Linked DNA regions of Diceros bicornis minor. The protein of the gene in region 1 interacts with the protein of each later gene in a pairwise test. Links are inferred from orthologs where the notes say so. Each region holds a gene or a part of one and is shown on either strand. Other genes may lie near its edges.

What was found.
Region 2: the proteins of EMILIN1 (region 1) and NMI interact in binary tests that used the Homo sapiens proteins (3 or more experiments, as listed by UniProt). The two-hybrid records come from large-scale screens. The link is inferred for Diceros bicornis minor from reciprocal best matches to the Homo sapiens genes EMILIN1 and NMI.
Region 3: the proteins of EMILIN1 (region 1) and BEX5 interact in binary tests that used the Homo sapiens proteins (3 or more experiments, as listed by UniProt). The two-hybrid records come from large-scale screens. The link is inferred for Diceros bicornis minor from reciprocal best matches to the Homo sapiens genes EMILIN1 and BEX5.
Region 4: the proteins of EMILIN1 (region 1) and PLAC9 interact in binary tests that used the Homo sapiens proteins (3 or more experiments, as listed by UniProt). The two-hybrid records come from large-scale screens. The link is inferred for Diceros bicornis minor from reciprocal best matches to the Homo sapiens genes EMILIN1 and PLAC9.

The regions. Positions count from the first base shown.
Region 1 is NC_080751.1:55,738,324-55,745,309, reverse strand, and holds the start of EMILIN1 (EMILIN-1), read left to right. Parts: upstream 1-3,984; 5' UTR 3,985-4,449; coding exon 4,450-4,619; intron 4,620-5,578; coding exon 5,579-5,704; intron 5,705-6,171; coding exon 6,172-6,392; intron 6,393-6,986. UniProt on the Homo sapiens protein: Involved in elastic and collagen fibers formation. It is required for EFEMP2 deposition into the extracellular matrix, and collagen network assembly and cross-linking via protein-lysine 6-oxidase/LOX activity.
Region 2 is NC_080749.1:35,229,366-35,237,063, reverse strand, and holds the start of NMI (N-myc-interactor), read left to right. Parts: upstream 1-4,684; 5' UTR 4,685-4,951; intron 4,952-7,698. UniProt on the Homo sapiens protein: Acts as a signaling pathway regulator involved in innate immune system response.
Region 3 is NC_080781.1:94,976,827-94,983,532, reverse strand, and holds BEX5 (protein BEX5), read right to left. Parts: upstream 2,501-6,706; 5' UTR 2,372-2,500; intron 1,592-2,371; 5' UTR 1,525-1,591; intron 1,082-1,524; 5' UTR 1,055-1,081; coding exon 713-1,054; 3' UTR 514-712; downstream 1-513.
Region 4 is NC_080745.1:27,688,153-27,695,743, forward strand, and holds the start of PLAC9 (placenta-specific protein 9), read left to right. Parts: upstream 1-4,586; 5' UTR 4,587-4,811; coding exon 4,812-4,875; intron 4,876-7,591.

The DNA.
Region 1 (6,986 bases):
TTAGAGACAGTGTCACTTTGTCCTCTTTCCTCTGTTCCGTACTCCCCAACAGACTGTGGACTCAACAGGTTGTCCTAAGGTCAGGGACAAGAGGAACAGGGTTTGTTTTGGAACCATCCTGAAACGTCCTTCACCTCCCAGAACTTCCTGTGCCTAGGTCCCAGAACTTCCTGTGCCTAGGTCAGCGAGTCTTTATCAGCCTTGAATGGGTCATTTGGCCTAGTGCCTGGAGGAACTGAGATTAAAAATGGTCTCCAGGACTAAACTAGACTCAGTTAAGAATTAACAAAGCTTGAACAAAGCTTGGGTGGAGAAGTATGTGGGAAGTGAGACAGGCAAGCCTCATCCTGGGGGGAATTGGGGGAGAGAGAGGATGAGGGGGGGACAGGGACACGTGACACGTGTGGAGCCTAATCTCTGTGATTAGTGTGACATTGTCAAGGAGAAGACATGAGGTCAGGATTAGGTTCAGGAGTGAAAAAGCAACCTGACCTGGGAAAAGGGGACTGGGCCCTGAGTCCAAGGAGGTTGGTTCCTAAAGTACTGTCCCTGTGGGAGGGGTTGGAAGGAAAAGGAAAATGTGTGCATTTGAGCAGGAGTGGACTTTTGCTCAAGAGTCGCTGCAAGCTTGAATTACCATCTGGGTTTGCATGACTGAAGGCCCAATTCATATAATTTCCCTTTTCTTCCTACCAATATTCCATCCTCTGACAGAGGGCGTTAGACATAAAATGTGCCTTACTGCTGGTGCCCCCGGGCACCTGAGCTCATTGCTCAGTCGGTGATGGTTGAGTGAATGAGTTAGTTGCCTAGTACAGCCAAGATTTCCCACTGGCACTAGACCCTTGGAAATCCCCTGTTTTGGAGAGGCTATAAAATAGATCTTGTACTAGTGCTCCAGGGACTTAGCCTTTTTGGGTCTCAGGAATTCTCTTGCCAATTGCTTTGGAAATTTGTGGCTACCTGCCAATACCACCACTGCATTCTCTCTAAGCCTAGTCTCCATTGCAGCCTGCTTGCCCAGCACCTCAGGCTTCCCCAGTGAACCCAGATCTCATTTGAAATCTCACAAATATTCATGTCAGCCTCTAGGTCTTGGCTCCTAATTACAGGACTAAATGAAATGCAGCCTACTCCAATTGTATTTCAAAGCCAACATTTTTGACTTGACACACTTAAAATACAACAGATTTTTAAACCTAAGAGGGCAGGCGAAGGAATGGGTAACAACTAGGCAGTAACAAAATGGCTGGGATGACTTTTCAGGTTGCCGGAGGCCCCCTAAAGGGAAAGAAGAGGGGAAAGAGCAGAGAAAGAAAACCCACAGCAGCAGCCAGGGCAACCTGGAGAGGAAGTGGCTTCCTGCCAGGGCCAGAGCCTAGAACTGATGTGGAGACCAGGGACAACGCTGCAACCTTCTACTGACAGCTCCTTTGAAATTAGGATCTCCTAGGACCATATCCTTCAAGTCTCCCTGTGTGCTGATCCCCACACCTTTAAGGGGCAGCCACAAATTTCCATTTCTGTTGGTTCCAGCATCCTGTCTTTTCACCAACGTTTCTCCCCACCATCAGGATCACATTCTGGGCCATAGGACCTCAGAGGAGTCACATTGAAGATTTGGTCGCGTCCATTCTCAGCTTCCAATTACTGTCCTGCAAATGGTTCCCAGAATCAAGATCCACATTCCTACCATCTCTTGGACATTTATTTCCATTGAGATGTGTTACTGTCATCTTAAACTCAGTATGTCCAAACTAAGGTCATCGTTCTTTCCTCCAAACCTGCTCCTCTTCTTGACTTATCCTTCCTGGCTCAAACCCTGGAATCTTCTCTGGTGTCTCCCTTCATCTGCTCCCTCTACTCAGGAAATCACCAAGCAGTCACAGCCTTCTCTTCCAAGTCTGCATCACTTTGCAATGTAGAATTTGGAAGGGACCTTAGACACCAGGCAGACAACAGACTCCCAGTGGAGTCATGGGATTTGCTCAGAGTGATAACACTACTGAGAGGAGGAGCTGGAACCAGCTCCATTGTGCCCTGACCCCCTGCCCATTGCTGTTGCTGACAATGTCTTCTTTCTGCATGTGATTGACCCCCTACCCAAACACTCGTAATCGAAGCTCTTAACCAGTTATCTGAGACTCCTTAATTTTTCCACAATTGACTTCTCTGACTTTCTGTCCTTCTTCTTCCTGATGCAAATAAGAGCTAACATTTATTGAGTGTTTACCATGTGCCAGGCACTATTTTAAATGCTTTACATGTATTAACTTAATCCCCACTAACCTAGGAAGGAGGGTACTATTATTATTCCCATGTCACAGATGAGGAAACTGAGGCAGGCCACCTTCCCCAACCTGAAATCTCTCCCTGCCCCTTGTCTCTGTTCTTCACTCTTTTCCCCCCAACACTGTTCAGATTCTCTCTCTTCCAGCAGCTCTTCTCTGACTCCCCTCAGCAGCCAGCTGTCTCTCCCCTCCTCTTACCCAGAACATGCCGCATCCATTTGTCTGTCCCTCTTGGCACTCTGTCTCGGAACTTGTATCCCATCCCCAGCAGCCCCAGCTGCTCCTCACTAAGTCTTATATATGCTTTGCTACCTGGGCGCCTGCACAGTGCCCTGCACGCAGCAGTCTCGCGTCCTTTCTTTTTTTTTTTTTTCGTGAGGGAGATCAGCCTTGAGCTGATCCGTGCTAATCCTCCTCCTTTTGCTGAGGAAGACCGGCTCTGAGCTAACATCTATTGCCAGTCCTCCGCCTTTTTTTCTTCCCCAAAGCCCCAGTAGATAGTTGTATGTCATAGTTGCACATCTTTCTAGTTGCTATTTGTGGGACGCGGCCTCAGCATGGCTGGAGAAGCGGTGCATCTGTGTGTGCCCAGATCCGAACCCGGGCTGCCAGTAGCGGAGCGCGCGCACTTAACCGCTAAGCCACCGGGCCTGCCCCTTTCGCCTCCTTTCTGTCTAGTACTTCCGCTTCGCTCTCCCGAGTGTCCCCACACACAGGGAGACCTAGTCCAGAAGACAGTGCTGAGGGCCAGGTGATGAAGGGGGCCCAGCTGACGGATTCAGACATCTCCAGTCAGGCCGATGGCTGAATGTGACTGAGTTCCTTGCCTGCTACGGAGGCTATCAGACTTGCCTGCAGGCTAGGGAGTGACTTCCTTTGGCCCTGTATAGATGGGGCCCAGTTTACCTTCCTCCCTCCCCTCCCCCACTGATGGCTTGACCTACACCAAGGCAAGCCTGGGACCCATATTTATTTGGCCTTTTAAGAGACTCTCTTCTTGCCCATGTCATCTCCATGCTTGACAGAAAACTGCTCTCCCATTTCCAGATTCCTTTCTTCCTCTTCTGGCTTCTCTGAATTTCCTGCCTGCCTCAGTGGAGTCCTTTTCCTTCTCCTCCCTGGCCCAGTAGCCCTCTCTCCTCTTCTTCTTTCTGCCAAGTCATTGATCTAGGTATTTAGATTCTAATCTCAGCCCTGTTCTTGACTTGCTGTGTTACTTTGGACAAGTTACTTTCCCACTCTGGGCCTCAATTTTCACATCTATAAAAGGAGGTGGCTGGACTAGATGGTGAGTGATGTCCCGCTGAGCCTACAAGCTCCTTCTCCCTTTTATAGTCCTCCCCTCCTCTCCCCTCTAGGCTCCTCTCTCAGGTCTTCTCTCCCAGGGGAGGCCTGCCGTAGCCCCAGGAGAGCTGTGGCTCCAGCTCCTGTTCCCTGTCTAAGTGACCAGCCCTGGGCCTTTCCCCCAGTGCTGGCCCCGGCTCCACTCCATGTGGCCCGTCTGAGAGGCTGGCCCCAAGCCCGGCGGCAACTCCACATTTCTCTGTTTTTCCTTTTTTTTTCTCTCTTTCCCGGAGTTAACAAGAAGCAGATGTGGCGCACGATGGTTGGAGAGATGGGGGGAGGAAGGGGGAGGCTGGACCGCCAGCCAGACAGGGGGGAAGGGAGAGGAGTGAGCAAGAGAGGGAGGCGAGAGGCCAGGGCCCGCCCCACAGCCACTCTTGTGCCTCTCAACAGCCACAGGGGCAAAGCCCTGTCACCCCCAGGATCTGATCATTGGGGAAAACAGATAGGGAGAACAGAGGAGGGCCAGCTGGGCAAAGGGGCGGAGGCCCAGGAAGCAGCATCTGAGAGGGGCAGGGACCAGGCACAGGAGGCCGGGGGCACAGAGAACAAACTCCCCTCAGAAGTGGAGAAGAGGAGAGCGGAAGGAACCGAGGGAGGGACAGACGGGAGTGTGAGGAGGAAAGAGGAGGGGGAGAGGGGTCAGGCCAGGCGGCCAAGGAGGAGGCGTGTGGCTGGGGGCTGCCGGCAGGAAGCTGGGGACAGGACCCGACCGGCGCTGTCCCTTGGAGCAGCGGCATCCCCCGCACCAGGCAGAGACGCCAGTGGTCAGGCTGGGATGTGCCTCTGAGGGCCACCGCGGAGCGCCCCCACCATGGCCCCCAGCACTTTCTGGATCTGCTACCTCTGCTGCCTGCTGACCACAGCCGTGGGGGCAGCTAGCTACCCTCCTCGTGGTTACAGCCTCTACACGGGGAGCGGCGGGGCCCTCAGCCCTGGAGGACCCCAGCCCCAGAGTGCTCCCCGGCCTGCCAGCCGCCACAGGTAAGAATCTGGGTCCCAGAGGTGGGTGGGAGGGTGAGTCAGAAGGTGGGTATCCGGCCCCTGCCTTGGCTACCCTCTCCAGGGCTGTCTCCCCTAATACAGGGAAGAAGGGGAGAGGAAGCCCACCCATCAGGTGGCTCCTCACACGGCCACCTTCCTGCAGGGCGTTTCCAGGGCCCCCTGAATAGATAGGTCCCTCTGTCTAACCTCAGGGTGATCAGCTCCCATGTCCTCCCTGTGGGACCTGCAGTTAGGTGCCTGGGAAGACTATCCTGAGAGGCGTGGGCCAGGCCTTCCTGCCAGCTGCCAGCTGCGTACCAGCCTGGGATCCTTGGGCAGACCTTTTATCCCTTTCTAGGGCTTCCTCAGCCCCATCCAGTAATCCATGATTCTGACACCACTCTTGCCCTGCTCCTTTCGGCTCACCAGCTGGACCCAGATCAGAGGCCCGCTTGAATGGGGCCAAGAGTGTAGAACTGCAAGCCCTAAGGGTGGCAGGACTCATCAATGGCTTATTCTCCATTTAACCCTGAGCTGGATCCCTGCCTGCCCCATCCTCTCCCCTGAGGGGTGGGTGGAAGCCAGCATCCAGGGTATCACCTGAGGGACCCAGCTAGCCAGCTCACACAGGCCACACCAAAGTGTGGATTGAGACAGAAAGGGACGTGGATGAATGTGTGAATTCAGAGGCTCCCAGGACCCCCCCCAGCCATGAGGATCAACTTCTTGTAGTTGTGGTTTTCCATTCTGCGCCTCCTCTCCCCATCTTGAAAAGTCTTTATCGACTGCTGCCTCACAGGAAGGCGTGGGGGGAGCTGCCACTGCCAGAGCCCTGGCTCCCACTGGTCCCCGGGGGCCCTTCATCTTTTGACTGTCCCTCAGCTCCTCTGGTAGCCCCTGGGCCCTCCTCTGGGGCGTGTGTCTCTGGCCCTTGGGCCCAGGTGGGGTTGTGCCTGCAGGAACTGGTGTGCCTACGTGGTGACCCGGACAGTGAGCTGTGTCCTTGAGGATGGAGTGGAGACCTTCATCAAGCCTGACTACCAGCCGTGTGGCTGGGGCCAGCCCCAGTGTGCCCGCACCATCATGTGAGCCTCTGTGCTGGGGGATGAGTGGGTATTTGGTGGGGGTTGGGCTAGGGCAGAAGGCAGCCAGCCAACTCAGGGAATTCCTACAAAGCAGGGAGCAGGGGGCAGGACCAGGGGCTTCAGTCAGAGCCATTTTGAGGACACGCTGAGGCAACAGTTTGGCTGGTGGGATACTCAGGGCACACCTTTACCTAGGCCACCCTGCCAGCCCCCAAATGCCTTCTCTGGGCTGGGTCATGCTCAAGGAGGGGAGTTCAAGGTTCCAACACAGGACAAGGGGAGGAAGAACAGGGATTTGGCCCTTGGCCAACAAGCTGACAGCTGTCAACTGAGCAAGGCCACATGCTGGACAGTAAGGGGGACTCAGCCTGAGAGACAGGCTTTGCCCACCAGCAGCTGCCCATCTCTGAGGACAGGGGCCAGTACGTACAGGGAGGAGTAAAGAGGCCTCCCTCTGCCTCTCCCAGGTACCGCAGCTTCCTCCGTCCTCGCTACCGCGTGGCCTACAAGACAGTGACAGACATGGAGTGGAGATGCTGTCAGGGGTACAGGGGTGATGACTGTGCTGAGGGTCCTGCCCCAGCTCTGGGTCCTGCACCTACCACACCACGCCCCCAGCCCCGGCCCGCCCGCCCCAACCTCTCTGGCTCCAGTGCGGGCAGCCACCTGAGTGGACTAGGCGGGGAAGGTGAGTATGGGAGCTGCTGGGGAGAGAAGTGGGAGACTGTGATGGGCGAGAAATGTGGGGCCAGGCTGCCGAGGGAAAACCCCCAAGCTCCCAGTCAGAAGAAAGGGACAGAAGGGAGTTAATGGGATCCCTGAGATCCCCTGTCCTCACGCAGAGAGATTGAAACCGAGAGAAAAAAGGCAGAGGAGAATGTGCTCACACACGCCCACATGTGGCCAAGATACTTCCTAGTTGGGAACAGCTGCGGGAGGAAGGGGGAATTCCTTGTAGAAGCATGGTCCAAGGGGATAGACAATTGAGACTACAAGTCCTAGCATGCACTGCAACCAACTACAGGTCCCAGGCCCCTCGGTGGCCTCTGGAGACTGCAGGTCCCAGAATGCAGCCGTCCCTGTTGCCTTCCCGGGCCTGCTGGGCACTGCGGTGTGCTGTGTTTGCCTGCCAGGGAGATAGCCATACTGTCATTATGGAAACAGGAACTTCTGGCTGACTCGCCCACCATCCAGCTAGCACCCCTGCAGGCTTGTTGCAGAACCTCGTTTGTCCCTGTGGTGGTGTGGAGAAGTGCCACCCAGGAATAGCCACTGTTGGGGA
Region 2 (7,698 bases), on another chromosome or scaffold:
AAACAGAATTTTCTGACTGATCAATTATACTTATATGATCAGTCAGTGGCTCAGGCATGATTCCAAAAGATAACATTCCTTATTCTTTCATTTTATTATCATTATTTTACTTGGATTAACTTCTATTTCAATTTTTTTTTTTTTTTGTGAGGAAGATCAGCCCTGAGCTAACATCCATGCTAATCCTCCTCTTTTTGCTGAGGAAAACTGGCTCTGAGCTAACATCTATTGCCAATCCTCCTCCCTTTTTTTCCCCAAAGCCCCAGTAGATAGTTGTATGTCATAGTTGCACATCCTTCTAGTTGCTGTATGTGGGGACGAGGCCTCGGCATGGCTTGAGAAGAGGTGCGTTGGTGTGCACCCCAGATCTGAACCCTGGGCAGCCAGTAGCGGAGCACGCGCACTTAACCGCTAAGCCACAGGGCCGGCCCATATTTCAAAATATTTGATCTATCACAATATTTTATTCACTTATACAAACTTATTCATACTCACTAATATGAAAGCTTATACAAAGGGGTTATAACATTGGGCCCAGAGTATTTGACTCTTACTCTTGTATCTAACCACTACTTAGAAATGAGTATATAGCAAGTACTAGATATAGTCACTGTACTAGTAACTGTAGATGACAGGAAAGAAATAAAAAATGATCTTTGCCTTAAAAGTACTTCTCCAGGTAGGAAGATAAAGCAGAAGAAATGTGCAGGAAAAAAAAATTCTCACCAATGGGTAACAGCTTCCATTTATTGAGACTTACCAATGGCTAAGGCACTGCACTTAGCAGTTGACATGTAGTAGTATCTCACTCACAACAGCCTCATTTCACAGATGAGAAAACTGAGGCAGGGAAACTTCAGTAACTTGAAATTAGTATTGAAACCCACATCTGAGATCAAAACCATGCTCTTAACTGTATAGCACTGCATGCCTGACAGAGTAAGGGATGGGGTACTTATTTTACTTTCCTTTTTTTTTTAATCAGTTGTCTACTATTTTATTTATTTTTTTCCAGCTTTGTTGAGATATAATTGAGGTTGAGATATAATTGACATATAACGTTGTGTGAGTTTAAAGTATACAACATATTGATTTGATACATTTATATATTGCAAAATGGTGTTGATTTAATACACATATATTGCAAAATAGTGTTGATTTAATATATTTACATATTGTAAAATAGTGTTGGTTTGATACACTTATATATTGCAAAAATAATTACCACCACAACATTAGCTAATACCCCCATCACGTCACATAATTACCATTTCCTTTTTTGCTATGAGAACATTAAGATTTACTCTCTTAGCAACATTCCTTTACTTTTACATTTTCCAGTTGCAAACCTCTGGAAAACTAGATGATGTTACATAATTTCCTGGTGTCCCCCAGGGTCTTGCACAATGCTGGGCACGTTCTAAGTGTTTCAGCTTCCCCAAGAATGAAATGCAAACTGGATCACCAAAATCTTGGCAACAGTAGCAAAAGCTTGGTGTATAAGACCTTTTCTAAAAACAAGAGCACAATATAAAGGATATCAGATGGTTTTCTCCTGGTTTGCATACCCACCAAACTTGTGGTGGCTCCGAAGCTGTTTCATGCCTCTGGGATTTTTCACTTGAAATTTTGTCTCAGCCCACCTCATCTAATTTGAAGAATCCACTTAATTTTCACCTCTTCTGTGGAAGAAACGTCTCTTGATCTCCTGAGATTGAGGGGACTACTTTCTCCTTTATGATTTTTTTTGTTTTTTTTTCTGGTGAGGAAGATTGTCCCTGAGCTAACATCTGTGGCAATCTTCCTCTGTTTTGTATATGGGACATTGCTACAGCATGGCTTGATGAACAGCATGCAAGTCCATGCCCAGGATCTGAACCTGCAAATCCCGGGCCACCCAAGCAGAGTGCACGAACTTAACCACTATATCACGGGGCTGGCCCCTTCTTTGTGTTTTGCTATGCCTGGTATCCTACCTCTTCATAGCACACACTGCACTGTATGTAACACTGGTCTGTGTGTGTGAATTTATAGGGAATCTGGGAGGAGTTCATTACCATTTGGTGGAGAGATAAATGTGTAACATAACATACATCTCATATCATTGCGGTATAGATTTACATGAGCTGTCCAAGGCATCTCATATGTGACATAATATTTATTGAGTGCATTATAGACACTCAATAAATAATAACTTTAATATTAAGACATGGTATAATTTAGTGTGCGGAAAGAAAAAGTTTTCCTCTACCCTCTTAGGGTTCCTGGCTGGGTCTGAAAATTAAACCGACAAAGATAGATTTACAGAAGAAAAGCATACAGATTAATATAAGTTTTATATGACACGAGAGTCTTCATAAGGAAACAAAGACCAGAAGAAACAGTTAAATCTGACTATTTTTATGCTGGGTTTGATGAAGAGTGGGCAGTCATGGAGGAATATGATGCGTCAAGGAGCATGAGGTAAGTGCAGTAAACTGGGGGAGACTCAGCAAGGCCTGTTTGTTAGGATTCGTCTCGGCATCCCTTTGTCTTCAGAAATAAGGATGCTCCTTTCCTCCAGGTATAGAGAGGGCACCTCTCACACGAGGGTTTTATGACCTGTTTCAGAGAAGGATGGTGGGAGGGAGGGAAAGGTCAGAGTGACCTTCTTGCTTCTGTTTTCTCAAACTTCTTCAGCTTAAACTATTCAATATGCCAAGGTGCCACATTTGAGGGTAGCATGTCCTGGACCCCATCATTAGTAAAATTACCCCATTAGAAACTCTTCAAGATTTTAATAGCTGCTCCTTGAACAAAAGGATTTAGTGGTCAAATTAGTTCAATAAATTCAAGGTTGAATAAAGTTAAACTTTTTCATGTGTGCTTTAATTTTTCCTGCAATACTTCTCAAAATTCTTTTTTTTTTCTTTTTTTTTTGTGAGGAAGATCAGCCCTGAGCTAACATCCATGCCAATCCTTCTCTTTTTGCTGAGGAAGACCAGCTCTGAGCTAACATCTATTGCCAACTCTCCTCCTTTTTTTCCTTCCCTTTTTCTCCCCAAAGCCCCGGTAGATAGTTGTATGTCATAGTTGCACATCCTTCTAGTTGCTGTATGTGGGGACGAGGCCTCAGCACGTCTGGACAAGCACGCTAGGATCCAAACCCAGGCCGCCAGTAGCGGAGCTCGCGCACTTAACCACTAAGCCACGGGCCGGCCCTGCTTCTCAAAATTCTTAATGTGCTATTGTGCATTGTGACTCTCCAAAAGTGAATTAAGTATGCAGCATAACCTAATCATAGTTGGCCGTAGAATTCCTTCATCTTTAAACACCATAAAACACAGTGTGGAGACACTGATTTTATGGTTGAGAGTAGAGTATGACATCAAAGTCATTACATATTAATTGCTTGATTTGGGGTCACCTCTTTAATGCTTAGTTTCCTCATCTGCAAAATGGGAAGAATACCTATACCTCATACTGTTGTTGGCAAAATAAAAAGGATATTAAATGCCCAGGAGTTCTCAGTAGATGTTAGCAATTAAAATTGTTACTAATATGTCCAGGAACTGACTATTCATCTTTAGAACTCCAGCACTTTGCAGAATACTAGATTTGAAGCTGAGTTGAATTCGTATTGTTACACATGGCTTGGCTTTAGCATGTTGGTAGCCAAAAAGGCTTCGCTACTACCTGTATCCTTTGCCCTTTCACAGGATCTGAGTCAATATCAGATCAGCTCTGTTCTGGCCATGGTCCTGCTCCTTAGTATCTTCTTATAAAAAACAAAAACAAGATCAAAGAAGAAATGAGGTTGAACTAAATAACCTCTCAATTTCATGCTCTCTAAATTTCTAAGGTAGAACGACATTAATTCTCAACTTGTGACAGATGAAGTTTTTGTACTTTCAAACTGAGCTGATGAGCACAAAAGCCCTTATCACGCACCACTTGATTTTTTTCACTTAATTCACTTTTAACTGATTCCTATCACTATTCTTGATCTAAAGGAATTTGGCTTTTGTTAATCTGTCATTTTAGACTGCTATATCGGTTATTACATATGAGTATATAGCATTATACACTAGAAATCATTTTGATGCATCTCCTTCCTGACCTCTATTTACCAGCAAGTACAGCTGTGGGGTGGTTCTTGGTGTAGAATTAAGAGACACTGCAGTTCTTGAAATAAGCCAGACGTTTTTATTTTCAAAGGAAAAGATCACACCTAGTGAAGCATTTATTTACAAGCTTCACAACAAAACAAAAGATTGTAAGACAATTTTCAAGGGACGTGGGTCATAGAAACCAACTGAACACCACAGCTTTCCCAACCTCATGGCCCAGAGGACGCTGCAAAAGACACACAGACGAGCTGATCTTGTGCTGGTTGTAAAAATTTGTAGATTAAGGTTATAAAGACAATAAATTACAATGAGAGTTACAATCTGGGGAGAGACGCCTGCTTTGACGTTATTTTGTTTCAGTCCACTTTTCCAACCGTATGTCCAGTAATATACACACACACACAAGAGTGTTTTTTAAGACATGTCCTGAAATTAGTGTTTATGGACACTTCAGGAAAACTTTTGGGATAGATTCCCCCAAAACAAAAACAAAACAAGCAATTTTTAGAAATCGAAAGTGAAAATGGTTATAACTTGTTAGTGTTTAACCAGTTACTGGAGACACCAGGTTTGCTATTCCGAGCGGTGGTTAGTTTTTTCACTAACCACTACTTGAGCACAGTTTTCTTTTCCTTTTCTTCTTCTTCTTTTTTTTTTTTTAAGGAACAAGCTGTTAATCCGAGTGACACCCACTTGCAACGGCACCTCGGATCTCCCGAGGCGCTTCTGGATAAGGCAGCACCAGCCTCGGGGACCTGGGACATCCGGCGCCGACCCCCGAGGTTTCCCGGAAAGGCGGGCGCGCTGGGCCCCGCGTTGCGGCGCTCGACGGGCCGAGGCAGGTGAGTGGGGCTCCCGGTTCCCCGGCTGCCGTCCCTGCTCCTGGTAGCCCCGGGCTACCGAGGCCCTGGGTCGGGAGCGAGGCGCATTCCGCGGCGCCAGGGACCGCGCGCAGAAGGCGGCTCTGCGCCCCCCGCGCCCCCGCGCCCCACCCCCCGCAGCCTGGGTCGCTGTGGCGACAAGCTGCCGAGAGGGCGCGCCTGCCCCTGCGCCCACGGTGCCTTCTGGGTGCCGGCCAGGCCTCTGACCCCGTCTCCTTGGTGTGCTTTGCTTCATTCTGGAAACTGAAACTTAAAACCACTGTGTTTCCTCAACGTTCTTCTAGTGTCTCCCGAGATAGTTCTTAGGAAAACTGATGCCTTGAGATTTACTCTCCTTGGCAGGCGCAGGGTTTGGCAGTCTTTCCTCACGTTTCAGAATATTCAGGGTTTTTCTTGAAAGAGACATCCAAAGGAGAACACCATGTTTCCCTGTCTGTATAACATGCATAAGTTTTTTTAAAACTATATATGTTTATCACTATTTTATTAATTACCACCTCCTGCCTTCCTTCCCCTCGTTTCCTTTCTTTTTGCTGCCAGATATGGGAAGATTGGATTCTATCAGGCCTGCCACCGCAGTGATATGAGTATAGTAGGAAAACAGGTGGTGGATAGATGGTGGTGATTTGTATTGGTTTTTTCATTCACTACCATAACAAATTATCACGGATTTAGTGGCTTAAAAACCACAAAGTTATTATCTTAAAAATCTGCAGGTTAGAAATCTGACCTGGGTCTCACTGGGCTAAAATAAGGTGTCTGCAGGGCTGCCTTCCTTTCTGGTGGCTACTGGAGTAAATCTGTTTTCCTGCCATTTCCAACTTCTACAGGATGCCCACCTTCCTTGGCTCAGTGGTACCCTTTTTCAATCTTCAAAGCCAGCAGCGTGCCATCTGACGATTATTATGTTGTCACATCTCACTCTGACTCTGCTCTTCTGCCTTCCTCGTTCACTTTTAAGGACCCTGGTGATTACATTGGGCCCATGGAAAATTCAGGATGATCTCCATATTTTGAAGTCAGCTGATTAGCAACGTTAATTCTCTTTTGCAGTGTAACCTAACATACTCACAGATTCTGGGGATTAGGATGTGGGCATCTTTGGGAGGGTTGTTATTCTGCCTACGATCTGATTGCATAAAAGGAAGCCTATTACTGTACATCCCGCTGATGCAAAGAGAGGACAGTATTGAGATACTAAATATGTTGCAAAAAGTTCTGGGGGTGTCATGTAGTAGACCATTTATAAGAGTTAAATATATTGAGAGCCTTTATTACAAGCTCTTAAGAATATTGACTTTAAAAAAAGCAATTAAATAATGTTGCAGTTTTTGCTTTCTGGAAATGTGATAAGAGAACTTCATATGCGTGGATGTCCTGAGCAGAACAACTACCTGAGTCAAGATACTGCACGATTCTCTAAATATTGAGTATTTTCAATGTGTAAGCTCGTATTGTGCTCTAAATGGATGCAAGGAGGAGTAGACGTGGTCCCTGGCCTCAAGGTCGTGACCGTCTAATCATGGAAAATGACACAGGTACACAAATAAGTAAAGCTCCCCAAAAGAGGTAAAAGAGGGAGAACTAATGTCCCTTGGGGGAATCAGAAAAGGCTTCAAGAACTTGGCAGAAATTTGGGATGGACCTTGAAGAACAGTAGGATTTCATTAGGTGGAAATTAAGGTTGGGAGGGGTGGAAGGATGAGACATATTGAGGGACAAAAGGGAGAAGAGGGACCCTTCGAGTGTTCAGTGTGGTTAGGAGACTTAGTCTAGGAGTTGTCTAAGAAAGACTAGAAAATAAATTGGAGTTAGATTGTGTAAGACCTTGGATGAATGTTGGAGGCCGTCATAAGGATTCTGCAGTTGTTGATGTAATAGGGAGCTACTAATATATATGTTTTGAAACCATCTCAAACTTACAGAAAAGTTGCAAGTACGATACAAACAACCTTTCTTTTTCCTGTAAGTTTCCAAATTCTTGAGTATACGTTTCCTACAAAAAAGGTATTCTTTGTATAACCACAATACAGTGATCAAAATCAGGAAATTAATATTGACACATTGCTGCCATCTAATCCTTGGATCCAATTCAAATTTTGCCAGTTGTCCCAATAATATCTTGTGTAACAAAAGGACACAGTTCAGAATCATGCATTGCATTTAGTTGTGATGTCTCTTTCATCTCCTTCTGCCTAGAACAGTTTCTCAGTCTTTCCTTGGCTTTTTTGAACTTGACACTTTTGAAGAGAACAAGCCAGTTTGTCTAACGTTTCCTCATGCTTAGATTTAGATTATGTATCTTTGGCAGGAATATCATAGAAGTCATGCTTTGTTCTCAGTGCAGCCTATCAGATGGCAGATGATTTATCTCATTATTTACTTTGATTATTTTATTCTGGTGGCATCTGCCTGGCTTCTTCACTGTGAAGTTACACATTTCCCCTTTGAAATTAATAAATATTTTGTGAGGAAGGATTCTGAGACTAACTAAATGGTCCTTTCCCCACCAAAATTTCAATTTATATATGTCTGTATGTATGTCAGTATGGACTCATAGTTTTCTATTTTACTCAGTGGATTTAATTATTACTGTCATTATTTATTTTTATGATTAATTTATTCTCAGATTTGTCCAGTGAGAACTTCCTCAAGCTGGATTTTCTGTCTTTTTGACATGTTCTCATCATTCTTTGAGCACTTTCTTG
Region 3 (6,706 bases), on another chromosome or scaffold:
GCGGCCTCAGCATGGCCAGAGAAGCGGTGGGTCGGTACGCGCCGGGAATCCGAACCCTGGGCCGCCAGTAGTGGAGTGCGCACACTTAACTGCTAAGCTACAGGGCCGGCCCCTATCTTCATTTTTTAAGATGAATCGGCTGACTTTAAAGAAATGTATCTGTAATAATTACCAGGTTTGTGCTTCTAAATAAGAGATCCAGAGGTAATATAATTTATATGTCTTTAAATTGTGTCTCAAGTATAAATTGTGTCTCAAGTATTTATTAATTTTCTCCATTCCCTTTATAAACCGACTGGCAAGTTGTTTGCTTCTTACTTTTCTTTTGACACATATAATATGTGTGTACTCATTTTGGAAAAATGAGAAAAAACAGATAATCAAGAAAAAATAAAGAAAACAAAAAAACACATTCTGATGTATATATATAATATGCACACTACATTCAGATATATATAATATGCACACTTTTAAATGAGATAGTATATCTATAGACTAATTTTTAAACTGCTTTATTAACTTTACAATATATAATAAACATCTTTCCATGCAAGTTCATGAAACTCCCCTGCTGACAGAAAAACCTACAGACTAAGTCAAAATGAAATCTCCAATCAGAAAAGTGACACAACACCAAAGGTTCACGATAAAGAGTACACCAAGAAAATGCAAGTTTGGGAAGCAGAGGGTTTATAACTATTAACCTCAGCATTCAAGGCATAAGGCAAAACTCATCATGATGGTCATGGTGAGGGGGATCTCCTATAAGAATGCGCAGACTGTACCTCAGTTGAAGCTCCGTAATTTTCCTCCTTAGCTCTCTCATCTCCTCCATGAACCTTTCCATATCATCTGCATCTCCATCTATCATGTCAATGTTATTGACAAGCCTGTTGGGAATATCCTCTCTAAAATCCTGGGCAGGTGGAGCCCAACTCCCTCTAATATTTCCTCCAGGCTCCTGGCCTTGACCACCTCCCAAAGGGCGGGCTTCTTCTTCATTCTGCACTGGGGCCTGCCCCCCTCCTTTGCTTTCCTGGGGGACATTTTCCATGTTGAGATTTTTTCCTGCTTCTTCTTCCTAGAGATAAAAAGCAAGAAGAGGGATTGAATGTTCTGTAACAACAGGATTCAGAGTTCTGTTGGCAAAGGTTTTCCCATCTGAGAGACTTCGTGCGCCCTCCAGGGGGCGCCCCAGACCCAGCCCTGCCCCAAAGCCCACCATTTTCCCTGAAAGTACTTTCCCTAGGCCACTCCTCTCATCAAAACATAGGATGGGTAGTGGGCGGGCGGTGGTTGAGAGACCCAGGCCTCAGCTTCCAGGGATCCTGATAAGCCCTCCAGGGGCGCCCCAGAGCTTGCCCCTCTACTCCCTTCTTCCTCCACCAGCCATAGGCGCACAGTTTCTAAGGACTTCGCCAGCTTTGTGCTGTACTTAACTCAGGCAGGGAAGGCTGTGACTCCCCCAGATTCTGTCCTGATCCCTGATGTCCCTACACCAGAGAGCCCCCGGTAGCCCCCTACCTGCAGGGATCAGAAGCAATCTTCCTCTCTTAGCCTTGAAATCTGCTGCACCAACGGACCTAAAGACCTGCAGACAGAAATGCGACAATACCCAAGACTGATCACTCGATTAAAGGACCAGTACCCAGGGCACCAACTCCGTTGCTGATTTAGGATTCTGCTAGTCAAATGTTGCCACCTTCTCTTTCTCCTCTAGCCTGTCTCAGGGCTTCTTTTCCAGCCCTGTGATGCGCTACCCCGCCTTCCAGAAAGAGGCATTGTAATCAAAGACGATTTTTTCCAAATCAGTTTCACCTCTTCTTTAGGCCCCTTATCCTCACTGACCCGTCCCTTCTGTTGCCTAATTACCATTTCTTGAACGCAAATGGACAGTTTGCGGGGCGGGGAAGTCAGAAGAGCTTGCTGGGTGGCGATGTGGTTTATTTATGAAGAATTTCAATCTGGGTTTCCACCAGGACCTTTTGGGACCCAGTGGCCTTTCTCGAGCCCACCCTCCTTCCGTTGCCCACCATTTTATGCATCAAGATGGACGAAGGGCGAAGAGGTAGTGTGGGCATTGCAAACTTGGTCCTGCTGCGGTCTCAGCGCTTTGTCATGCTTACCCCAGGGTCTGCAAGCAGCACCCACCCTTATACCGGCCTGCAGGGACCAGAAACAGTTTCTCCCTGCCCACCTATATCCCTCATCCCTCAGTCAGAAGTCCGCCCGGTCGACTGCCCCCTCCGCAGAAGGGACCTGCTTCCCAGACCTAATCCCTGCCCCATCCTCTGCAGCAACCGCCCCTCACCCGGGTTCCCACAGCCCACCATTTCCGGCTCCAAAATGCACGAGGGTGGAGAAAAGATACCGGGAATGGAGGCGTGCGGTGTCCATTATCTCCAACCCAGGGTTACCGGTTTCGCCCCCCTCCTGCCGCCCTGCAGGAATCAGGCTGTTTCCTCGGCGTCCTCTTCTCTGGTCCTTCCCTTCCAGATGTCGCCTGATCGTCCACCTCCTAGGGGATCCCAACTGGTACTCATTCTCAACCCTTGGCCCCTCTCGGTCTCCTCCCATCAAGCCCTTCATTTCTTGCACCAAACGGGTGGGCATCGGGGAAGTGCTAGAGAGAATCCAATCCTGAACCCACTCTGGTCTTTGCCCTCTGCCACCCGCACCCCAGTCAGAGCCCGCTAACCTGCCATGGATCTGGGTCATCTTCTACGACTTCTTCCTTCCCTGGGCTACAGGCTCGCCCGCCTTCAAGGCAATAGCGAGCCGGCGCACAGCCACAAACAACCACTGGATCACAACTAGAAGGAGAGACTAATCCATAGGTTGGCTCTAGATCTCGTAAGGGCCATGTCACTGCGAGCTCAGATCCCCAATTCCGGTTCATACCTGCAGTGCGGCAGAAGAGTGGGAGGTGGGAGCGTGGGCGGGACCACCTTTCTCCTCATTCCCGCCCTCGCCCCACCACTACAACAGGCTACTGTCCACATCCCTTTTTTTTTTTTTGCTATTTAGCAATCTTCGAGACCAAACGGGTCATAATATTTTGTAGGTTGTATATGCCTTTTCCCTGATTTCTGCTGGAGCTTTTAAAGACTTGCTTCTTCCTGTTTTATATCATTAAATGCCCACTTCTCCCCACTCCACTCCCCAGCAAGTAAAGCCCAGAATTTCCCATAACAGTCTTGTAGGTCTTGTCCCAGAGTGCAACCGGGGCGGGAGAAGGGGGCGAGGTTAAGAAATCTGGAAAATAAGTAGGAAGTGACCTTTTTTTTCCTAACTTTCACCTTAATTATTTCCCTTTATGTTTAAGAGGGTGTATGTAATTGTTTTTTTGTTTCCCATCAGCATGCATTCATTTTTTTGCTTGCTATGACTAAATAATACAATTATTTCCAGTTGAAAAACAGGATTCGAGCTGTAAAAACTTGGCAACCTGTTTCTGCTGCTGAATCATCCTACAAATATAGACCCTCCAGATAACACCTCCTCTCCCTTTTAAGGACTTTGAAATATAAACCTAAGCTGGTGGTTCCCCTTGTGAAAGGGTCTCTTTGTGGTTTTTCCATGAGGTGAGATAGTGAGTCTAACAGAGTTTTGCTGGTGGAGTTTTAAATCTTGAGAGCTTGTAACAAACTTATGGTCTCCTCTAAATTATGTTAGTGCAACTTCACTTTACAATAAGACTCCAGCATGGCCTCTAAAATAGAGCAACACTGAGGTCTTCCAACAATTCAGAACAATAATTTTGGAAAGTTATGCTTACAGATAAAAAGTATTGTGAAGCTACAATATTAAAACAACATTATACCAGAATAAATATAGAATAAATGAAACAGAAGAGAAAGTCAATTGTCAAACACAAATATGGGGAAATATTAGTAATCTAATTGAAATATTTTGAATCAGTGGAGAGAGTTTAGACTATTGAAGAAATGATTATTGAAGAAATGGTGCTGAGGTAATTGATTAGCTATTTGGAAAAAAATGAAGTGCCTTATTCCGGTTTTAAACTTACTAACTCAATATTTAGATAAAAAGACATAAAACCATTGAAAATAGTATATAACGAATGTTATTTTGTATACAATCTTAGGATGAAAAAGTTTGTTCGTTAAACATGTAGCACCAGAGTGGCCGGCCCGGTGGCATAGTGGTTAAGTTGGCGCCCTCTGCTTCCATGGCCCGGGGTTCGCAGGTTCAGATCCTGGGCGGGGACTGATGCACTGCTTGTCAAGCCATGCTGTGGCAGGTGTCCCAAATAAAATAGAGGAAGATGGGCACAGATGTTAGCTCAGGGCTAATCTTCCTCAGCAAAAAAAGGAGGATTAGCAACAGATGTTAGCTCAAAGCCAGTCTTCCTCACACACACACACACAAAAGTAGCACCAGTGATAGACATGGCCAAAAGACAACTGGCCCAATCCTGTTGGGGACCCTCTAAGTCTAAGGAGCCATGTAGAATGCTCCTCAGAATTATCCCAATTCAACGACAGGAAATTGGAGTATTTATCCACAGACATGGGTTCTTTATTGGTGGATGTTACCCTGGGAATGTTAAAATCTCTGACGCTTCCAGGTTGTCTTAAGCCTGGACTGGACTGAGCAAGCTCACAAGGTGCCATAAACGGCCCTCAGTAAAATTAGAAAATACAGATAAGGTAGAAGGACAATATCAGCATTATCTCTGCCTCAATAAATATACTATTCACATTTTATTCTAAATCAGTCCAAATATTTCCCTTCAAAATAAAGAATGCACACACATCCATTCCGGTATTTATGAGCATTTGGGGTGTTTGTAGTTTTCACTATGAGGGACCATGTTGATTGAACTTCTTTGTACATAGATTTTTTTTATACTAACAGGAGGGTATTAAATTCCTAGAAATGTCCTAGCTGTATATGACTATGGATGCTTTTAATTGCCATAGAAATTGGCCTTGAAAAATGTTGTCCCAATTCGGCATCTATAATGTATGAGCATTCCTGTTTTCTCATGTGTCCACCAACACTGAGTATTACCTGGTTTATTGTATTTTTTTAAATTTTGTTTTATTTTATTTTTTGTTTCATTTTGTCCTTTTTAATTTATTTTTAAAAATTTGTTGTCAAGATCATCAAGTAATGTTTTCTAGACCTGCCACATTATAAAAGACACCTGAGATTAAGATTCCCAGACTCTTCTCTGAGGATTCTAGTTCAGTAGATTGGAGCAAGTTATGGGAACTTGCATTTAAGTTCCTTACACAATACTTAATATCAGGTAGGGTTGGCAATCTGTGTCATAGGCAAAAAAACCAAAATGAAACAAAAAAAGACCCCCACTGTTATTTAAGTGGTCTTTTAAAAAAACATTACTATGAAATAATTTCAAAGTTATAAAATGATTTTGAAGATACTACAAAGAGCCCCCACATGCCCTTCACTATATTCCCCAGTTAATATTTTGCTACATTTGCTTTATCATTCTCTCTTTATGTTGAAGGGCACATTATTATTTCCTGAACCATTGAGTCAATTGAAGACTAAATGGTCATTTAAAAATATTTATTTCAGAGTGACATCAGCATCATGGTGGACTGAGCTTTCTTGTAAACTCTTCCCCCAATAAGATACAACATAAGGGACATTCATAGACCAACAAGGGACACTCACACAGCACAAAGGGACATCAGAAAGACCCACACTGTCACACATCTGAGAGCGGATGTGCTGGGGCCCCTGGAGGAAGTGGGGAGAGGTAGGGAGAAATCCTCTCCCTCCCCATCAGATCAGTGATTCGGGCCTGCATGGCTCCCAGAGAGCAGGGAGAGGAGGCCCTCTGCGGGGAAACCATAGCTCTTTGGCCTCTCTCAACCATTGGGAAACTCACATACAGAGGGTTCAGATGCTGCAGGGGTGCCATCAACATTTGAGAACCCCAAGAGAGCAGATAACAAAGGGCGAGCAAGAAGCCCCCTCCCAGGGACCTGGCAGGCAAAAGAGAGAGCCACTCCCCCCTGCATGCCCAACAGTGCAGCTCAGCCGACCAGTCAGAGCAGCCACAGCAGAGTGCAGGCAGCCCCGGTGGAGCAGCTATGGCGGAGCAGCCTTGGTGGAGCACAGGAGGCTCAGATTACACAGCCCTTGAGCCCCACATAGTGGCAGCAGGTGGAAACTGTAACCAGATATTTCCAGGATGAGGAAAAACAAAACGAATACAGCAAGCACGATGTAAAAGTACATGAAATCACCAGACCAGAAGGAAAATGGCAAGGAACCAGAAATCAACACTGAAGGCACAGAAATCCATAACCTAAATGACAGAGAATTCAAAATAGCTATCATAAAAAAGCTCAGTGAAATACAAGAAAACACAGGTAAATAATTCAATGAGATAAGGAGTTTCTTCACAAAAGAGATTGAAATCATAAAGAAAAACCAATCAGTATTGATGGAAATGAAGAAAACAATGGAAGAGATAAAGGAGAACATGGAATCTTTAGAGAACAGAGCTGACAATATGGAGGAAAGAATTAGCATTATAGAGGATAGGAAATACAGATATACTCCAGATGGAGGAGGAGAGAGAACTGAGACTAAAAAGAAATGAAGAAAGTCTCCAAAAATATCCGACTCAATTAGGAAATGTAACATAAGAATTATAGGTATTCCTGAGGGAGAAGAGAGGGAAAGAGGAACAGAGAGCCTA
Region 4 (7,591 bases), on another chromosome or scaffold:
CTCTCCCCCTAACCACATAAGGACTTGCCCCTCTGAGCCCCCAAATACCCCATTTGCCCTCTTCTCACCTTCACCTCCCTCCAGATTCCCTTGCTATCTAGTTACACACCTGGGGCCAGAGAGTCAAGAAGTCTGATAATACAAGAGCATGGATTTCAGAAGCAGATCTGTCTGGCTTCCAACCTGAGATCTGCCAGCCTCTGACCTTGATCAAATATATCTTATTTGAAAAATGAGATAAGGATACATACCAGATAGGTTTGTTGGTACAAGGGTTAAATGAATAACACATATATAGCCTTAGCACAATACCAGTTTCAAAGAAGTTTAGCAAATAACAGTAATAATACATACCCAGCCGGCTGCCAAGGCTTTGCCTTGCTTTGAGGCCCGGCATATGGTTGGCATATTTCCTAGTTCCTGGCACTGACGCCAGTTTCTCCTATTTTTAATTTCATTGGTCATTTCTAGAGAATGTTGGAAGGAGGACATTAGCTAACCGGGTTCTTATTAACATCTGGCCCAGTTTTCCTTTACCTGTTTGGGCCGGCTTCTGTTAGTGTGAGGAAATAAATTGATTTCAAAACACTTCTCTTAAATCCAGCCAATGTATGGAGTAATTCAAGCAGTTCTTCTAGTTCTACTGGATTTTCTAAGAAAGCAATTGAATCTTCTACTAATAGCCATATTTTGTCTCCTTCACAATACGTCTTCTCCTCATTTGCGCTTTATTGCATCCATCAGACCATGGATAATTAACGGTTGTGATGATGTCATCTTTACCCCATTCCTGGCTTAATAAAGAATGCCTCTCTCTTTTCTCCCCTATGTACGTGTGAGCTATTGAAGATAAAAGTGATGATATTGTTAAGGCAATATCCTTTATTTCCTTTACTTCTACCTCTTGGAGTTTGTCGTTTTTAAGTCAGTGATGGCTGCTGAATTTCATCAAATAATAGTCTCAGTATTTATTGAAATAAGGCTATTTTATTTTTGTTTCTTTGACCTTATAACAGAAATGACGGCTAGAGATTTTTCTGGAACCCCACTTGGGAATGAATAGCTAACCAATAATTTATTTTATGTTCAAATTAGTGGATAAAGAATGGACTATGCAATCGGGAGCATTTGGATATTTAGATGTCCACTGGGGAAAAAATTTTGTTTTTAATTTTTCCTCTCCATCCCCCCCAAAAAATCTAGATGGATTAGAGACTACACCCTTAAAAAAACTGAAAACTATTTGAAGAAAATGTTGGAAAATATTTTTATAGCCTTGATGTGAGGAATCATAAGCAAGTTATAAAATCTAGAAGCCATAAAAGAAAATATTGAGAGATTTGGCTACCTAAACATCTAAAACTTCTGTATGATGAAAGACACCACAAAGAAAGTTAAAGACAATGGAAGAATGGAAGGAAACCTTGCCAACATATATGACAGGCATTGGATTTATAATCAGAATATGTAAAGAAAAGAGGAAAAATAGGAAAAAGTATTTGAATAGCCAAATAAAGCTCAACTTCACTCATAATAAATAACGTGTAAATAAAAACAACAAGGTAACATTTTTTCCTCATCAAATTGTCAAAGTTTTAAAAGATAAATATCCAGTGTCAGAGAATGTACATGGCTGCTAGATCTACAACTTCAGGTCTCTCAGCTCCAGAAGCGTTTTATGTAAATAGCGCCCCCTGCGGGACAGCATAGGCTACAATGTGATGGGTGTGTCTTGGAACATTGCGCTGAGGGCCAGGCCCCTGCTAGGTGCTTAGTGAGGGTTTTTGTCTCACTCAGCAAAATGTAAAATGCCCTCTGACTCAATGATTCCTCTTCTAGGAATCCAGCCTTTCAGAAATACATGAGTATGTAATATGTACATAAACATATTTGCAAAAGCATGTTCATTGAAGCATGCTTTATATTGGACAAGAAGGGAAACAAACTACGTGTCCATCAATAGGGGATTGTCTGGACAAATAATGGTGCATCCATTCATGAGATATTTTGCAACCGTTAAAAGGAACCAGGTGGATTTAGGTCTACTAACATAGAATGATCTTCAAGATTTGATGTTATGACTGAGATGAACATTAATGTGAAAACAAATCCCCAAAATATCTATTATTCAATCCCAGGTATATACATTTGTGTCTGAATACATATTAGATAGATAGGGCATGCATAGACAAGGAGCTGGAAGAGTCCACCAAGCTGAGGGGACTAGACTAGAATCGCTGGGCAGGGGGAGTTAGTGATAGGGAGGAGTTTCATGTTTTACTATATGCTTTATCATTTTATGACTTTACCACAACAAGACAGTATTGTATATGTGTTGTTTTTATTGTAAATTCAAAATATTAGGTAGCCCACTCATTCTGAGCTGCAAGAATCTCTATGGGTTTGGCTATCCTTTGACAACTTCCCACCTGAGTAAACTACCAAGGAATGTCCTACTACCAAGTGTGAGAAATTTTTTTTTCCTATTATTATTATTTTGTAGAGGTCATATTGGCTTATAACATTGTGTAAATTTCAGGAGTACATTATTATATTTCAGTTTCTGTATAGACTGCATCATGCTCACCACCAATAGTCTCGTTTTTATCCATCACCATACATATGCCCCCTTATCCCCTTCTCCCTCCCTCCCACCTCCTTCCCCTTTGGTAACCACAAATCTGTTCTCATACTCTATGTATTTGTTTATCTTCCACATGCGAATGAAATCATACAGTATTTGTCTTTCTCTGTCTGACTTATATTGCTTAGCATAATACCCTCAAGGTCCACCCATGTTGTTGCAAATGACATGATTGTCTTTTTTATGGCTGAGTACTATTTCATTGTGTGTGTGTGTGTGTGTGTGTGTGTGTGTGTGTGTACCACATCTTCTTTATCCATTCATCCATTGATGGGCACTTGGGTTGCTTCCACATCTTGGCTATTGTGAATAATGCTGTGATGAACATAGGGATGCTTGGCATTCCTGAAATAAATTGTTTTTCTGAGCTAGCTCATCTGGGCATCCTAATCCCCATGAGTACTTGTTAAAAATTTAGATGCAAGTTTCTATCCAAGATCTGCTGACTCAGAACCAGAATTCCGTGCCTGAGGCAGTTATCTGGAGGACGAAGTGAGAACCGAGGATTAGGATTACGGGTTGGTGTGGTAACTGTATTGGACAATTGCACAGTCGGGAACAGAGAAGGCAGAGAGGCAGCCTTGATCTGCAAGGGCTCCAGTTAGCCTAAGGGGGACCCTTGGTGGATAGAGACGTTCTCCTGGTCTTGGTGGTGAAGACGCTCCACTTACAGCCAGGTGAAACAATCAGGTTCTGCAGCTCTTGCTTTTTGTTTTCACTGAAACTTAACTATTTTTGCACTTGTTGGGTGGGGTGTCCCGTGGGTGAGGATTCCACTATTGTGTTCTAAACTGGAAGGAGGTGGGGATGATTTGAAGTTCACTGAAAAACCCACCCAGGTCTTATTGTGAGCTTGCTTAGAATGGAAAATACAACCCGGTTCTCAGGGACTCAGTATATATTATTATCTAAGGGCTAGTCTACAGAAGCAGCAAAACTGGATTCAAATCCTGACTCCACATTATACCAGCTGTGTGACTGTGGGCAAGGTTCTTAACATCTCTGAGCCTCAATTCATCTGCACAATGGATGTAATGACGTGCCCCTCATGCAGTTGCACTGAAAATCAGACAAGTGGTGTGTGTAGAAGTAAATCTATCAAAGCTTAGCTGCTATTTATTAATATTATGGTGGTTAATAGACTGTGAACTCCTCGAGGGCAGATACATGCGAATAGGAGAATTATTTTCTTTCCTCCCTCCTCCAGAGTTTACCTAACACTATCTAGTACAGAGCTTAAGTATTTGCTGAACACTGATTCTGATCCCGATTCCATTAGGGCTCTGGGCCTTTCATTGCCTTTGAGGCATTTTACAAGTGTGTAAATTGTAGATAGCAATGCAACATAATTCTCGTCTATAGAGATGCAAATTATTCCTGTTATAGGTTCAATTAACTCTCCTCCCTCCCTTTGTGGAAGAAGTCAGTTTTACCTCCTTTTGCACATTAATGTCAATATTCCAGATCTGTGTCTGTTCTTTGGACTGACTGTCACCTCTCACTGATTCCCTCAATAATTGTGAGTTAAAATCTTCAGCACATGCTCATTTTATATATGTATGAAAGTCATGATTTTACCTTTTTTTTTTTTTAAAGTATCTTTTAACATTACTATTACTCCTTTAGCAAAATAGCAAGTTTCTGTAGAAGGCAGACACCACTTCTGAGTCTCCCTCTCAGGGCCAGACGCTGTCATAGGTGGACAGAGAAAAGCTTCCAGGCTGCGAGCAGTCAAGGGTTCAGATCCTGTGCCTTAGTTGTGGGTGACACCGAGGGAGGCAATGCTCCCTAAGCTTCAGTCCGCCGACGTGTGAAATGGGCTCATAACCAATACCTGGGCCCCGGGGGCGGTCGCGTAGAACCCACTCCCCCACCCTTCTCTCTCCCCTTCTGCGCCCCGGCCCCCGGGAGGCGCGGGGGACTCAGAGGGCGGCCCCTTCCAGGCTGGCACGCTGGCCCCTCCGCCTGCGGGGTCTCTGGGCTCCACGCTGCCCACGGGATGCGGAGGGGGCCTCTGGAGGGGGCGGGTTCGCTGCAGCCAGAACGCCGGGAGCCGCCCAGGAATTTTGGCTAGGACTGAGAGCATTTCCTCCCGGGCGGGCCCGGCGCGATCCCGGGGAGGGCGGCTGCGGGCAGACGCTGCGCTGCGTTCGGCCCGGCCGGCACCATGCGGTCCCTGCTCTGCGCGCTGGCCGGGCTCGCCCTGTTCCGCGCCGCGGGAGTCTTCGCCGGTGAGTGGGGCCCGGGCGCGGGGCGAGGGCGGGAGAGCCGCGCAGGGCGAGGTAGGATGAGCAAGAGAGATGGAGGGAGGGAGGAGGAGAAGGAAAAAAAATGGAAACGGAGCTAGATGGGGGCGGGGGGGAGAGAGAGAGAGATGGAGAAAGAGAGAGAGAGAGAGAGAGATGGAGAAAGAGAGGTGCAGAGAGGGAGGGAAAGAGAGAAAGAAAGATGGTGAGAGAAAGCAAAGAGAAAGACAGAGACAGAAAAAGGCAGAGAAATAAAGGCAGAGGGACAGAGAGAATTAGAGAGAAAGAAGAGAGGGACGAATAAAGAGAGAAGGGTAGAGGCCGAGAGAAAGAGACTTTGGAGCTGAACAGATGGTTATGAACTATGAAGGAGGAAAGACAGAAAAAGGAGTTTGAGAGGTACAAACGGAATGAAATAGATGAGCTAACCTGGCAAGAGAAAGAAGGGAAAGGGGAGAGAGAGAGAGAGAGAGGATACTGAGGAAAAGAGAAAGACGAGAGAGAGACTAAAAGAAAGAGAGAGTGGAGAAACTCAATGCCCAAGGAGAGAGAGGAGGAAACAAGGATCCCAGAGTGGGAGGTCAAGTCTGCAGGGTGGGGCAGCCCCCCAGGCCAGCTCCATCCAGAGGCCCTGCAGAGGCGCCCAGGCCTGGTTTTACTGGGTGTTGCCCAGGAAGCTAAACTTCCACAGTCCGATGACCCAGGCCTGGCCCAGCACAGCCAGCCAGTCGGGGTCAGGCAGGCGGGCCCCAGAAGAAAAGCCATCACTTCACCTGCCAGGTGGCCTGAGGGAGTTCTGCTGTCTGGGTGAGGAGGCCAGTCTCCAGGCTTCCAGAGAGCTCTCTGAGGGCCTGGGTTGCTTTGGGTGGGTAGGTGGGAGGAGGGTACAGGAGGAAGAGGTCCTCTGGGTGCTCCCCTTGCTGGGGTCCTTGCCTTGCACTCCCCTCCCTCCCCTCCGCTGACAGCAGTCTTAGTGCTGCCCCTTCACAAGTGAGGCACAGATAGGGTGGCAGCAAATGTACTTACTTACACACAGATGCTCATTCCACACCCCCAAGACTCTGCACCGCACTTGACAGTTTACAAGCCATGTTCCCGTTTACGCAGCATCTCACGCAGGCCTCAGCCAGAGGCAGCTGGCGCTCATCCTGGTTGTGCAGGTGAGAGGAAGGCTCAGGTCTCCCGGTGGTGCCAAGGCAGAGCTCTCACCAAGCATCCAGGCCTCCTGCCCTCTCCTCAGGCCCTTGCCCCCAACCAGGCTGCTCCCCCATCAACCTGGAGTCACCCAGGCCAAGTGCCCTATATTAAGACGGAACCCCCCTCACCCCTGCCCAGTCCCTTTCAGGGCACAGTGAACTGTGGGAGTGAGCTCTCAGGGAAAGGATTGAGGCCAGTGCTGGTCCTAGGCAGCTCCTGGCTGAGTGACCTTGGATGTCACTTCTCATCTCTGAGGCTGTTTCGTCCTCTGTAAGTTGGGGAGAATGATACTCACCCCGCAGAGCTTGCTGGGAGGATTGGATGAGAGGGAAAGTGCCCAGCATGGAACACGTTTCAACACACACAAGCTCCTTCTCTCGTCCCCGCAGACAGCTCCACTGATCTCACTGAGCCTCAGTTTCTCCACCTGTTAGGGAGGACCAACAACCGCTTCCTCACAGGCTGTGAGGAGTAGCTGGGATGATGCCCAGCATAGAGCCCGGCCCACAGGGCATGTCCTTCCCTTTCTCTCCCTCCCCCTTACCCTCCTCCTGGAGTCCCCACATCCAGGAGCTGAGGGGACAAAGCCTCGTCTGTGCTCCCCCAGAGGGAGGAGCTGGCTGCCACCCACAAGTGGCTGACCTTTTGTGGCCCCTTGGCCACAGCTGGTGTATATGCTTTAATTTAAAACTGTTTTTAAACATTTTCTTTCTGATTATGCATGCTCATTGCTACAGATTAAGAAAGAAAAGAGGCAAGTATAAACGTATTAATGTAATTTCGCATTGAGTTCACACATTGTTGTGTATAACCTTTCAGACTTCAGATAATATACCGTTGTTTTTGTTAACTTTTGATTATGAAATCTTTTGGGTGGAAAGCAGAGTAGTATAATGAAGCCCCATGTCCCTATCACCCTGTTTCAACAAGGGTCGATTCCTCCACAGTCCCCACCCTCTCGCCCCTCCCTCAGATTGTTTTAAAGGAGATTACAGGCATATAGATGAAAGATTTATATTTTCATCTATAAATATTTCCTAATGTATCTCTAAAAGATAATCTTTTAATAAACATAACTGTCATACCGTTATCACACCCTAAAAATGAACAATAATTCCTTAGTATCATCAACTATCCAATCAGTGTTCAAGTATCCATTGTGTCATACGTTTTTACATTTGATTTGTTTGATCCAAATAAGGTGCATGCATTGCTTTTGTTTGATATGTCTGTTAAAGTTTCTTTTAATATGTAAGTTTTCTTTTCCCCTTTCTTTCTTAATATTTATTTGTTGAAGAAACGGGGTCATTTGTCCTGTAAAGTTTTCCACATTTAGGTTTTAGCTGATTGTCATTTAAATGTTCCTCTCTACCTTGTATTGCCTATAAACTGGTGGGTAGATCTAGCAGCTTGATCTAATTCCAGTTAGATTTTTTTTTTCCCTGAGAATGGTCTTTATTGCTTTAATTGGCATTTCTCTGATTATTTCTGAAGTTGAACTTTT